3 linked regions of the Cricetulus griseus genome follow. The protein of the gene in region 1 purifies or fractionates together with the protein of each later gene. This does not show direct contact. Links are inferred from orthologs where the notes say so. Each region holds a gene or a part of one and is shown in the gene's direction. Other genes may lie near its edges.

Evidence for each region.
Region 2: the proteins of Lgals3 (region 1) and Slc12a7 purify together in Homo sapiens (affinity purification with mass spectrometry; 3 studies listed by BioGRID and IntAct, counting the BioPlex papers as one, with this or other methods). This does not show direct contact. The link is inferred for Cricetulus griseus from reciprocal best matches to the Homo sapiens genes LGALS3 and SLC12A7.
Region 3: the proteins of Lgals3 (region 1) and Slc12a2 purify together in Homo sapiens (affinity purification with mass spectrometry; 3 studies listed by BioGRID and IntAct, counting the BioPlex papers as one, with this or other methods). This does not show direct contact. The link is inferred for Cricetulus griseus from reciprocal best matches to the Homo sapiens genes LGALS3 and SLC12A2.

What each region holds. Positions count from the first base shown.
Region 1 is NW_023276807.1:203,415,415-203,419,445, forward strand, and holds the start of Lgals3 (galectin-3), read left to right. Parts: upstream 1-1,218; 5' UTR 1,219-1,304; intron 1,305-4,031. UniProt on the Homo sapiens protein: Galactose-specific lectin which binds IgE. May mediate with the alpha-3, beta-1 integrin the stimulation by CSPG4 of endothelial cells migration.
Region 2 is NC_048595.1:368,458,989-368,462,507, forward strand, and holds part of Slc12a7 (solute carrier family 12 member 7), read left to right. Parts: intron 1-1,677; coding exon 1,678-1,824; intron 1,825-3,099; coding exon 3,100-3,154; intron 3,155-3,519. UniProt on the Homo sapiens protein: Mediates electroneutral potassium-chloride cotransport when activated by cell swelling. May mediate K(+) uptake into Deiters' cells in the cochlea and contribute to K(+) recycling in the inner ear.
Region 3 is NC_048595.1:181,067,987-181,071,505, reverse strand, and holds part of Slc12a2 (solute carrier family 12 member 2), read left to right. Parts: intron 1-933; coding exon 934-1,041; intron 1,042-2,196; coding exon 2,197-2,320; intron 2,321-3,005; coding exon 3,006-3,107; intron 3,108-3,519. UniProt on the Homo sapiens protein: Cation-chloride cotransporter which mediates the electroneutral transport of chloride, potassium and/or sodium ions across the membrane. Plays a vital role in the regulation of ionic balance and cell volume.

The sequences.
Region 1 (4,031 bases):
AATGGCATTTGTAAGCAAGGGCACAGAAAAACTACCAAACTGGACTGACTGCTCCATGGGTAGAAAGGAAGGTTTATTGGGGCTCAAACTGCCAAGGTAACACTCCATCCCAGGTGGGGGGAGAAATGCTAATGGATTTTATATGACAGTCAGCAGAACTGGGGAGGGGGGCTTTGAACTGATACATCCTGTTGGAATTGACCAGGAACTAGATGCCTTTGTCCTAGGTAGTTGACATTTAGGGGCAGATTAAGAGAGATTCCTGGTCAACAGAAACTACCTTTAAGTTTCTGGTTACCCAGCCAGAGTCCTTCTGTTTAGTAAATTGTCACCAGCCATTGTGTGTGTGTGTGTGTGTGTGTGTGTGTGTGTGTGTGTGTGTGTGTGTGTGTGTTTGTGTGTGGTGCTTTAGAACTAACAGGATTAAAACAATACCAACTCCATAAATGCATGTAAAGTCTTAGACACAGTACAGGGTGCATACTCGTTTGGTGGATATTACCTGATGTTATCATCTGAAGCCGGAAAAGAAAAACCATCTTGAATATCCTTAACCACTAATCACTCAGCTTTTATCTAAATAAATGTCTCCAAACTAGTTATCAGCCTTCTTGCAAAGGTGGCTGTTCCTTGTAACAACTTCTCATACAGACAGAGCTTCGCCCTGTTCTTTTGACTTCACTATCCCTTGCCACGCAGTACTCTCCTCTAATCATTAAGCAAACATCTTTCTAGGAAGCAGTTTACTCACTCACTTATTCATTCATCCACTCTCATTCATTCATTCTTTAATCAATAAATTCCCACTGAGGAAAAACCTACTATTCTGAGTAGATCAAAACACCAAAACTTGGGGTATACAGACACAGCAAAATTCAGCAGGAATGAATGCAAACGGGGTTGCCTTTTACAGCTCGGTCACGTCAGGGATACCTGCTCCTACCTCTCCTCACCCGCATAAGTCACTTCCCACTTTTTGGGAAGGCTTTGGGTGAAGGAAATGGAGGCAGGATGAGACCGTGAGAGGCAACTTCAGACTCGGGAACCGGTGAGTCTGAGAGTGTCTGGGTGCGAGGATCAGGGCCCACTTTCCGGGCACAGGTGAGGGACACAGGTTGGCGGGAGTGTCCCTGTTGCAGCTTGGGGAAGCTCTGGGGTCCGCGGGGCGCGGTCCAGGCAGGCGCCTGCTGGCCTGGAGATGCTGCCCCGCCCCGGGAGGGCGGGCCGGGCTGGGGAGAAGTGTACAAAAAGCGCCCAGCCGCCGCCCAGCAGCTAGCGGAGCAGCGGGCGGAGCACTGACCAAGGTGAGCTGCGCGGAGCAGAGCGAGGGGGACCGGTGCTGCTCTGTGCACCAAGAAAGGGCTTGACTGGCGGGAGGAGACCTTTAGGGTCCCTGGCACGGGTCCACGGCCGTGACTCACCCGCGGGTAACACTCCGAGAAAGTTAGTCGAGACCTATTTACTGAGCATCGTTGGGGCAGCGGGATGCCTGCGGGCCCTGGGCAGGCATCGGAAGCTCTTGGCTCAAGTGAACCCAAGAGCCACCTTGCAGTTGGCTCCAAGCGGTTGCCCCTAGCTTAAAACACAGGAATCAGGTCCCCCTCCCGGTACGCTGGGGGGCTGCTTGGGCACCCTCTTGACAGCTTCTGGGATCCCTGCCTTAGCCAGCAGGCTCCTTTGGTACACCTGCTGAGATTTTCACTAGAGATCTTTGCTGTGTGTTGCCAGTGAGCTCTACCAGCCTTTCACTAGAGATCTTGCCCTGTGGTGCCAGTGAGCTCCACCAGGTCCAGCAGCGACAGGGGTTACAGCCACTCCCTGCGTGCTGACCGCACAGAAGTGTTGCCCAGGCTCTAGTGCGCATGTTCCCAGATGAGGAACGACGGTAATCTCTAAACTTTTGCAAGCCAAGTGACTCATCAGTGCCCAAATGTGATTTGTGCAATAACCTCTAGATCTGGGCTGGGGAAGTCTTGGGTGTGGTGATGTTTTTCCCAGAGTGTAGAGCCTTAGTTGGAGGCTTTTAAAAGTTGGATTTGTTCTGCTGTCTGTTGCTCAAACACGAATGCAGGGAACCAAGATGCATGGATTGAATATTTGGGGAGTTGGGTTTCTAGATAATGAGGACCTCAGGACCTAGTGACCCAGCTTATTTTGAAGAAAACAATTGCAATCACAGTGTTTATATGACTAATTTCTGAAATTCCAAGTTGTTTGCTTCAAGTTTATGTATTTCCATATTTTTATTTATTTGTTTTTTGGGGGAGGGCCAGGCGGGGTCTCACTGCAGCCTAGGCAGGTCTGGAACTCACTATGTAGCCCAGGCTGGCTTTCACTTTTCAATCCTGTCTCAGTATCCCCCAGTGCTAAGATTACAGGTGTGAGCTGCCTCCCCCAACTATTTCCATAAAAATTGAAGTTTCATAACAAAAGCTTGCTTTTCTACCACAATAGTCTTTGGGAGGGGTGATTATGGAATTTGAGATTGGAAGTGTTTTGTTGTTTTTGATTGAGACAAGGTCTTCCTATGTGGTCTAGGGTGGTTTTGAACTTGTGATTTTCCAGGCTAGAACAAACACACTTAGCAATTGTCTCCTTCTTGGTCACTGGTATTTTTTGCTTTGCTTTGCTTTTGTTTCTTGAGATAGGGTCTTACAATATAGCCTTGGCCGGCCTCATACTTATTACATATCCCAGGCTGACCTTGAACTCATGGCACTCCTTCTACCATAGTCTCCTGGGTGCTAGGATTACAGTGTATTGACTATCATGCTAGACTGTGCACATTGATTCTGAATACTTTTCAAATAGGTCCCTTTTCCCTATGGTAGTCATATTTATCCTTGATGGGGGTTAGCTTCCTAAATTCACAATGTTTAAGAGTTTAAAATCTGTACTTATTTCCCATTCTGGGGAAGACTTTCATGGGGGTCTTTCAGGTTTAAGCTTAGAAGTGTTTAAGGGATAGCTCACTAAATTGTAAACAAGGCAGAAGGAATGGAGAACTGCTTGATGCATTGACCAAAAGAATTGATCACGTTTATGTAAAATGACTAACTCTCTTCAGGGCTTCTTAATCAATGATATATTTCACTGGATCAAAAATAAGTACAGTGGCTTTATTGGTTTATTTGTTATTTTTCAAGTTGGGGGTCTCATGCGTAGCACTGGCTGGAACTCGGTACATAGAAACAGATGCTTTCCAAAGAACTGTTCCTTAGGTGGGTGTGGGAGTCAGTGCCTGTAATTCTAACACCCAGGAGGCAGAGCCTCCTGAGAATCTCAAGTTTAAGACCAGCACAGGCTACATGGAGAATTCTAAGCCAACCTGGGCCACAGAGTGAGACCGGTCTCAAAGTAAATATATTAAAAATATAAGCTTTTTACTTCCTGCCAGTAAGCTCAAGTGGCCTAGAATTGGTCTTATTTATGATTTAGGTGCTGTGTGCCTAGCACCCTTGGTAGCCAGAGTCTAAATCTCCATTGCAACAGACACAGCTTGGTGTTAACAAGGGGTCATGCATTCTTCCTTGACTGATACTCGGCTTTTCCAAAGGGGAAAAGTCAGTGACTGAGACAGAAGCACAGAGTAATTTTATCTTCCTTGATGTGAGGAACTGGGAAGAGAGAGAAACCCTAGGAGATGGCCAGTGTCCTTTCACTGATTGCTGCTTTGGAATGTGGACTTCCTCAAGCCCTGCTCTGTGTTTCCATGAAGGCAGGGAATGGAGAGGCAGGAAATGGAGAGGCATTGCCTGGGCTCCTGGGAAGGGAGCGTGGGAGGGCCCAGGATCACCACTTAGTGTTTTACAGTTTTGTTCTTTATGAACACAAATTCCAGAAGAGTTCTTGAGAACCCAGACCACTGGGTGGTTGGCACGTAGGCCCAGCAGAACATGGTGCAGTGGGCCACTCCTATTAAAGGAAAAGCTCTCAATTAACAGCTGGTTACATTGACTCATATTTAAGCTCATCATTCAGAATGACTTTGAACTGTTTCTGCCTGCTGCTTTCAAACGAAATATTTCCAA
Region 2 (3,519 bases), on another chromosome or scaffold:
CAACACATATATACATGCACATACATAATTAAAGATAAAACACTTCTTAAAATAAACAGTTCCAAAGGCATTTATCCATCTGCCAGCTTGCAGAATTCAAACCCACAAGACTTCTGCCCCCAGAATGCATAGTCCAGACCTCAAAGACAAGGGAGGGCATGAGGTCAAGGCCTAGTCTCTTTCTTGCTATATCCCTCCCTTCAGTGTGATGAGGCTTCCAGCTTTCAAACCCAGAGCTTTCCACACATTCTATCTCCCTGTGAGACCTCTGGCCTCCAATTGGTAGAATTCAGGCTGCCCTGCCCTGGGTGGCTCTCTGTGGGAGGGCCATCTGCATGCCTGAGCTGCCACTCTGTCTTTTCAGGTTGTTTCGGTGGTCAGTTTGTTCTTGGAGTCTACTCTCTGGCTAAGCACAGCCATTCAGTACCACTCTTCATTCAGCTGCTGGGCTCTCCCTGTCTGGTCTCTATCAGGCTTCTGTGTGAGCACGCTCTGTAACATCCTTGTGGTCATTGTCCATAGGGAATGTGCTCAAGCCAATCCTCCATGCTCATTCTGTGTTCGCCTAAACTGAGATGACCCTCCTTTGTGTTGGGGTCTGGCTTCTTAGCTGTTATGTCTCCAAATCTCTAGTCTGTTCCCTATCGTATTACAATGAGACTCTTGAACTTATAGGCAGCCTCACCTGCATCTAGCGCCTCTCTGGCCGCCTCTCTTTCATTTCTCAAGCTTCCTGGCACCAAGACTCAGGCCCCTAGCTTGCCTCACAGATACAGCAGGGATTCTATCTCACTCTTCCAAACTTTCCACTCTGATTCTTCTTCCCAGTAGGAAAGCAGAGCCAGGAGATTTAGTTGGGTTCTTATTGTTGTTGTTTTTCCCTTACTCTTTACTTTTTTGGCTCTTCAAGGGGCCTGCCACCCAGCTGCCAAATAAATTACACACAGAGTCTTATTATTTTTTATGAATGCCTGGCCTTAGCTTAGCTTGGCTTGTTTTTAGCCAGCTTTTTTTTTTTTTTAAACTTAAATTATCCTGCCTACCATTTGCCTCTGAGCTTTTTCCTTTTCTTACTTCTGTGTATCTGACTTTCACTTTTACTCTGGTGTCTGGCTGGTCTCTAGCATCCTCCTCTCCTTGTTCTCTTGCTCCTTCCTCCTCTCAGTTTCTCCTCCCATTTATTTTCTCCATCTGTCTGCCTTTTCTTCCTCCTGCCTTGCTATCAGCCATTCAGGTCTTTATTAGACCAATTAGGTGTTTCAAACAGGCAAAGTAGCACAGCTTCACAGAGTCAAACAAATGCAACATAAAAGAATGCAAAACATCTTCACATTATAAACAAATATTCCACAGCATAAACACATGCAACACACTTTAAAATACTTTCTACAAATAGGAGGCTTTTTCCTGTGCCCTGCCTAGTATGATTTTACTTCCTTCCAGCTCAATGCCCTAGATGACTGGGGTCCACTCTAGAACTAGGGAACCTCATCTTATCTGGGACATGGGTTTTTGTCAGGCATCTTTGCTATCCTTGTAGCTTCACTGTATGGCCACTGTGTTCCTCCCTGATTCCTCTGTTCCTGTGACCTCCAAATGGAAGCATGGGTAGGGTTCCAGGCTGGGTTACTGGATATAGACTGTGAGCCTCCTCGGACATATCTTTCTGTGTTCCAGGCCCCACGCATGGGCACCTTCATTGGAGTCTACCTGCCCTGCCTGCAGAACATCTTGGGTGTCATTCTTTTCCTGCGCCTGACCTGGATTGTGGGGGCAGCTGGTGTTCTGGAGTCCTTCCTCATCGTGTCCATGTGCTGTACCTGTGTGAGTGTTCTCAGCTAGTCCTGGCACAGTTTCTGAGGAGCTGGTACTGGGGGCCCTGAGAGACTACTTTTGGGGAATCCAGGCCTGTCCTGTAGGTCCCCCTCTAGAAACAACCTGCTGCAGAGGTCTTGGGAAAGTTGGGCTGGCAAAGGCTGGGTTTCCCACTAGTCTGAGGACTTTATTTAGCTGTATCTATAGGGGTGGCATTTGTACTTCTGGGGACACCAAGGGCTGAAGTCTGGGGCAGGGGCCTCTCACTGGGTTGTGATAAGACTACCCTGAAAGGATTGTGGGCATTTTCAGGGACACAGGTCTGTAACTTGTTCAAGTCCAAGCTTGAGGGAAAGAATAAACTCAGAACCAACTCATCCCTGCCTTCAGCATGTCTCCTTATTTATAATGACATTTTTTATCATGCACGCCTGGTTTACCTTTGATTATTGCTCACAGTCTGTCTACCAGCCCTACTTTCTCTCCGTCACCTTTCTCTGATGAGAAGTATAATTTTGTTTTAGTTAACCCAAGTGTCACCTGAAAGGACAAGGGTCCTTTTTAGAAGGAATTCAAATAATATGATTGAATGGGAGTCCCTTTAACTCCTGCCCCAGGTCACATGACCACTTGTTCCCTGATAGCGCATACCTAAGTGTCTATCCTAGGGTACCCACTGTCCTTTGACTGGTCATTCCTTGTGGCTGCCTGTTCACCTGTCCCCTGACTGGTCAGTCTGTCTTGCTACTCAAGGCCACCAGTCCATGCTTCCCAACTGGTCACTTCATGTGTCTTTCCTGCCATAGCCACCCTAGGGCACTTGCCTGTATTTCCTCATTCCATGTGGCCACTCCAGGACTGTCCTCTCGTTACTCTGTGTGGGCACTTCAGGTCTGGCCACCCACTTCATTGTGGCTATTTGCACTGCTGATACCCACAAATAAACTTAGTTGAGCCAGAGGGTAGATACAAGGTGAGGTTCCTTGTGCCATGGTGAATGTACATCTAAAGTGTCCCCCTGGTGCCTCATGGGTTATTAGAGACATAATTGGGACTCCTTAGGGGCCAGGCACCTAGAATGAGATTCAGCTTTCAGGGCTGTGCTGTGCTGGGTCTGAAGCCTGTTTTCTGTGACTTTTGGGAATGGATTTGTGGGTTGAGTAGGAAAGGACTGACAGCCAGTCATTTCATGCCTCCTTTGAGGTCAGAAGCCTGCAGCCTAGGCTCAGCATGTTGGAGAATCTTGGGGCACACACTTCCTGAAAGAGCTGTTTTTCTTTGCAGACAATGCTGACTGCCATCTCTATGAGTGCCATCGCTACCAACGGTGTGGTCCCAGGTGAGGGTGCCAGCGCCTGTGGCTCTTCACCATACAGAACAAGAACTACTTGTGTGTGGTTGCCATTTACTGCCCCAGGCTCATGTGACAGTGACATTAACTGTTTGCATCAGGATGGCACTAGGTATTGTGCTGCCCATGGAGAGAAGAGAGTGGCCCTCTCCCCAGAGGCTGTGGTGTAGACGCACCCTCACTGCCTGCCTGCTCTCTGTTATGAGGACAGAAACCACACCCTAGAGATGGGCACAAACATCAGTGGAGGGCAGGTCCTTCTGAAGTTATATACTTTTATAGCTTGTGGTGACACTCCACCAAGCACTACTGCTTTGTCCTCTGCATAAAAGAGTTGGCAGGCCTGTGTCAGT
Region 3 (3,519 bases), on another chromosome or scaffold:
AATACTAAGCATAGGGCATTGATGCTGATTTGTGCAAAGGACAATGCAACCAGAGAATAAACGAGCTTGAGGTTTTCATGTCTAAGTCTGTGAGGAATGCACACACACATTGGCCCTCATAGTAAATGTTTGGACATAACGCACCACTTTCATCAATTTATCAGTGTGTGGTTAATTGTGTTTTGTTTATAACTTCTCATCCCCAAAGAGAATTTGTATCATAACCTTTTGGCTAGATGTGTTTTTACTTAAAAATCTTTATACCCACAGTACTTTTGCAATCCCATAAAAAGAAACCATCTTAATGTAGTACACTTTGCTAGATCTAATTATAAATTTTCTAGAAACTAGGAAGAGAGGAGTGGGTTACATAATAGAGAGGTATGGTCCATACATTGCAGGATATAGGGTAGGAGCTCCAGAGAATGGCAGGAGAAATTAAATAAGTTGAAAATATGAAAAACTGTACCAACCAAATATAATTATTTTTGAGAGCTTGTTTGAAAAAAAAAACTGTTTTTAAATGACCAAGACAATGGGGACAGTTGAGGCAGTTTGATTGCTGACTAGATACATGATGTTGTGAAGGGATGGCCAGATCAGTGAGCCATTACTGTTAATAGACACAACACTGAACCTTATGCAATAAAAATCTAGAGGTGCGAATGATGTCGGATTGGCCTAAGTTGTCCATGGTTGAAACCTGGTGACAGGTAGTTGGCAGTTCATTATCCTCTTTTTTTCTGCCATATGTTCATTTGAAAATTTATAAAAGGATTTGTTAGTGGTAAATCTATTTTAATAATTTGCTTCTTATTGCTATTTATCAAATTACTATCAGATTAATCTAGTATTAGTTTCCTTTATTGTGACTATTCAATACTCTTTTTCAAACTGTTTTTATGACTCATTTTCCAATTCTGTCACTTTAAGGTGATGAGCATGGTGTCAGGGTTTGCACCCTTAATCTCGGCAGGTATCTTTTCAGCCACACTTTCGTCAGCACTAGCCTCTCTAGTGAGTGCTCCCAAAATATTTCAGGTAAATGTTTTCATATTATAATTATTATTAGGGGGGTATTAAGATATTTCAAATTTTGGATTGTTGCTATATTCAAATAGGTTGCTTTTATCAACCTCATGTGTTTGATATGTTTACATATACATATCAAAATTGATATCAATTTTATGTATACAAATGATATGCAAATGCATACAGACATTTGTGCACTTTTCTAATGTCAAGTTACATGCTAGAAAAGATGATTTGGGGATCTGGAGAGATGACTCAGCTGTATGGGCTCATGCAAAAGATCCAAATTCAGTTTCCAGTGTTTACATTGGGTGGCCCATAATCCTGTGATTCCAGACACATACATAATTAAAAATGATAGGAATAAATATTGAGGGGATAAAAAGAGTGGGTTTTGCTTCTTGACATACTTAGCATAAAAGTCTAAGGTTCTCATCAAGTATTAGGAGTGCAGTCTAAGACTAATCAGAAGTAATAAATAATGATTTCAGTTAGCATGATGCCAACTTAAATTTCTTATGTGGCTAACATTACATTACTTGTAGTAGGTGCAGTGATAACTAGAATGAATGAACATTGCTTCCTGTAGAGATGACTAAGCAGATAATACTGATTAGGGTCTCATTTTTAATTACTAAGTCAGATAAATGTTGATTTTTCTAGCCTTATTCTTAATATTTTATTTGTAGCCAAAAAATATAGTAATAGTGAGGCATGTAATTTTTAAGGCAGCATCTATTAAGATTTGAAGAAAAGTGGTTAAACTTTATTATTAGGGTTTTTAATCTGCTTTTATGTTTCATATTTGGACTTAGTTTTCATAAAGCCTTAAGTACTGTATTGTACTTACCAACTTCCAATTTTCTTTTTTAATTGTACTGTTATTTGAATGTCTGCTTCAGTGATTCTTCATAGGTAGAGTTTCAAAGTGGGGTGGGCAAGATAAATAAAATCTTAAGCAGTGTTGTAAACCAACTACCCTTCTATTTGAACTATTTACATATCCTTGATAGTCTGTAGGTGAAGCCCTGTGAGACAGGAAAAAAAAAAGCATCAGAAATGAGAGACTGGGCTCCATTCTTTATTAACCTACTTTAATTGTTAGCAGATTTGTATATCTTAATTTTCATGTATTTCATTTTAATGTTTGCATTTTTTTATTAGGCACTATGTAAGGACAATATCTATCCAGCTTTCCAGATGTTTGCTAAAGGTTATGGGAAAAATAATGAACCTCTTCGTGGTTACATCTTAACATTCTTAATTGCACTTGGATTCATCCTAATTGGTTAGTTCTTTGAATGGTATATCATGTAGGTTCTGGTGTGTTTATATATAGCATTACCTATAATCATGAATATTAAATTATTAACCAAACGTGCTTTGATTTAGTGCACTAAATTAATTTCTAATGAAACCAAAGAGTAAGTAAAATACCGCAAATAATAGTGTTGGATATTTATTAAAATTATTGCTATCATGTAAAATTACAGATAGAAGAAATTACACTTTTTTTTTTTTTAAAAAAAAGACTATGTATCTCAAGCTGGCCTCCTATTATTCATAATTGTAGCCAAAGATAATCTTGAATTCCTGATGGTCCTGCCTCTATTTCCCAAGGACTAAGATTGTAGGCCTGTACTACCATAACATTTTCCTAAACTATATACGATGATAGTGTAGGGAAAGGATACTAGTGTACCCCAGGAAGGTATTGCCTCTGTCTGATCATATGTAAAGTGTGGATCTTTCACTGCTAAAGTAACATTGGACTTTCTGAAGGATTTTTGTCTAGACTCTCAATTTAATTGTCTGAAAGTCTGATCATGTCATCCATCAGTTGTAATAGCAAGATTTAAGGAAGTGTCAACCGTGGTAGATTTAGGACTATTTATTATGCTATTTAAAAATAGGAATATTTTAAAATTTGAAGTATTAAACACCATTAAATTTATTTCTTGTTTCTTTTGCAGCTGAATTGAATGTTATTGCTCCAATTATCTCTAATTTCTTCCTTGCATCATATGCGTTAATCAATTTTTCAGTATTCCATGCATCACTTGCAAAATCTCCAGGTGATTTTACATTTTAAAAATTTGTATTAATGGCTTTGATTTCAGAGGAAACAAAATTTCCACTTTTCTAAAATTTGTTGTATGTGAGTTTAGTTCGTTAAAGTTGTTTTCTTTTATAATTATGTCAAATTCAGTGCTCAAAGTTCTCTTTATTATGAAGTATTCTGGTAATAAGCTGTTTCTTTTCAAAACAGTAAAAATAGCATTTGTCGTATTAAAGAATTATTTCCTGTTTTTAAAATTTCTTTACTATTTACTTACCCGATTCAGTTCTCATAACCTTGTCATTGTTTAATAACCTTTCAAAATTTGTTCTTTTTGGTGCTGAGAATTGAACCTGGTGCTTCAAGCATGATAAGCACACGTTTTTACCAATGAGCCTAAGTGCCAGCCCCTAGCATGATTTTTACAC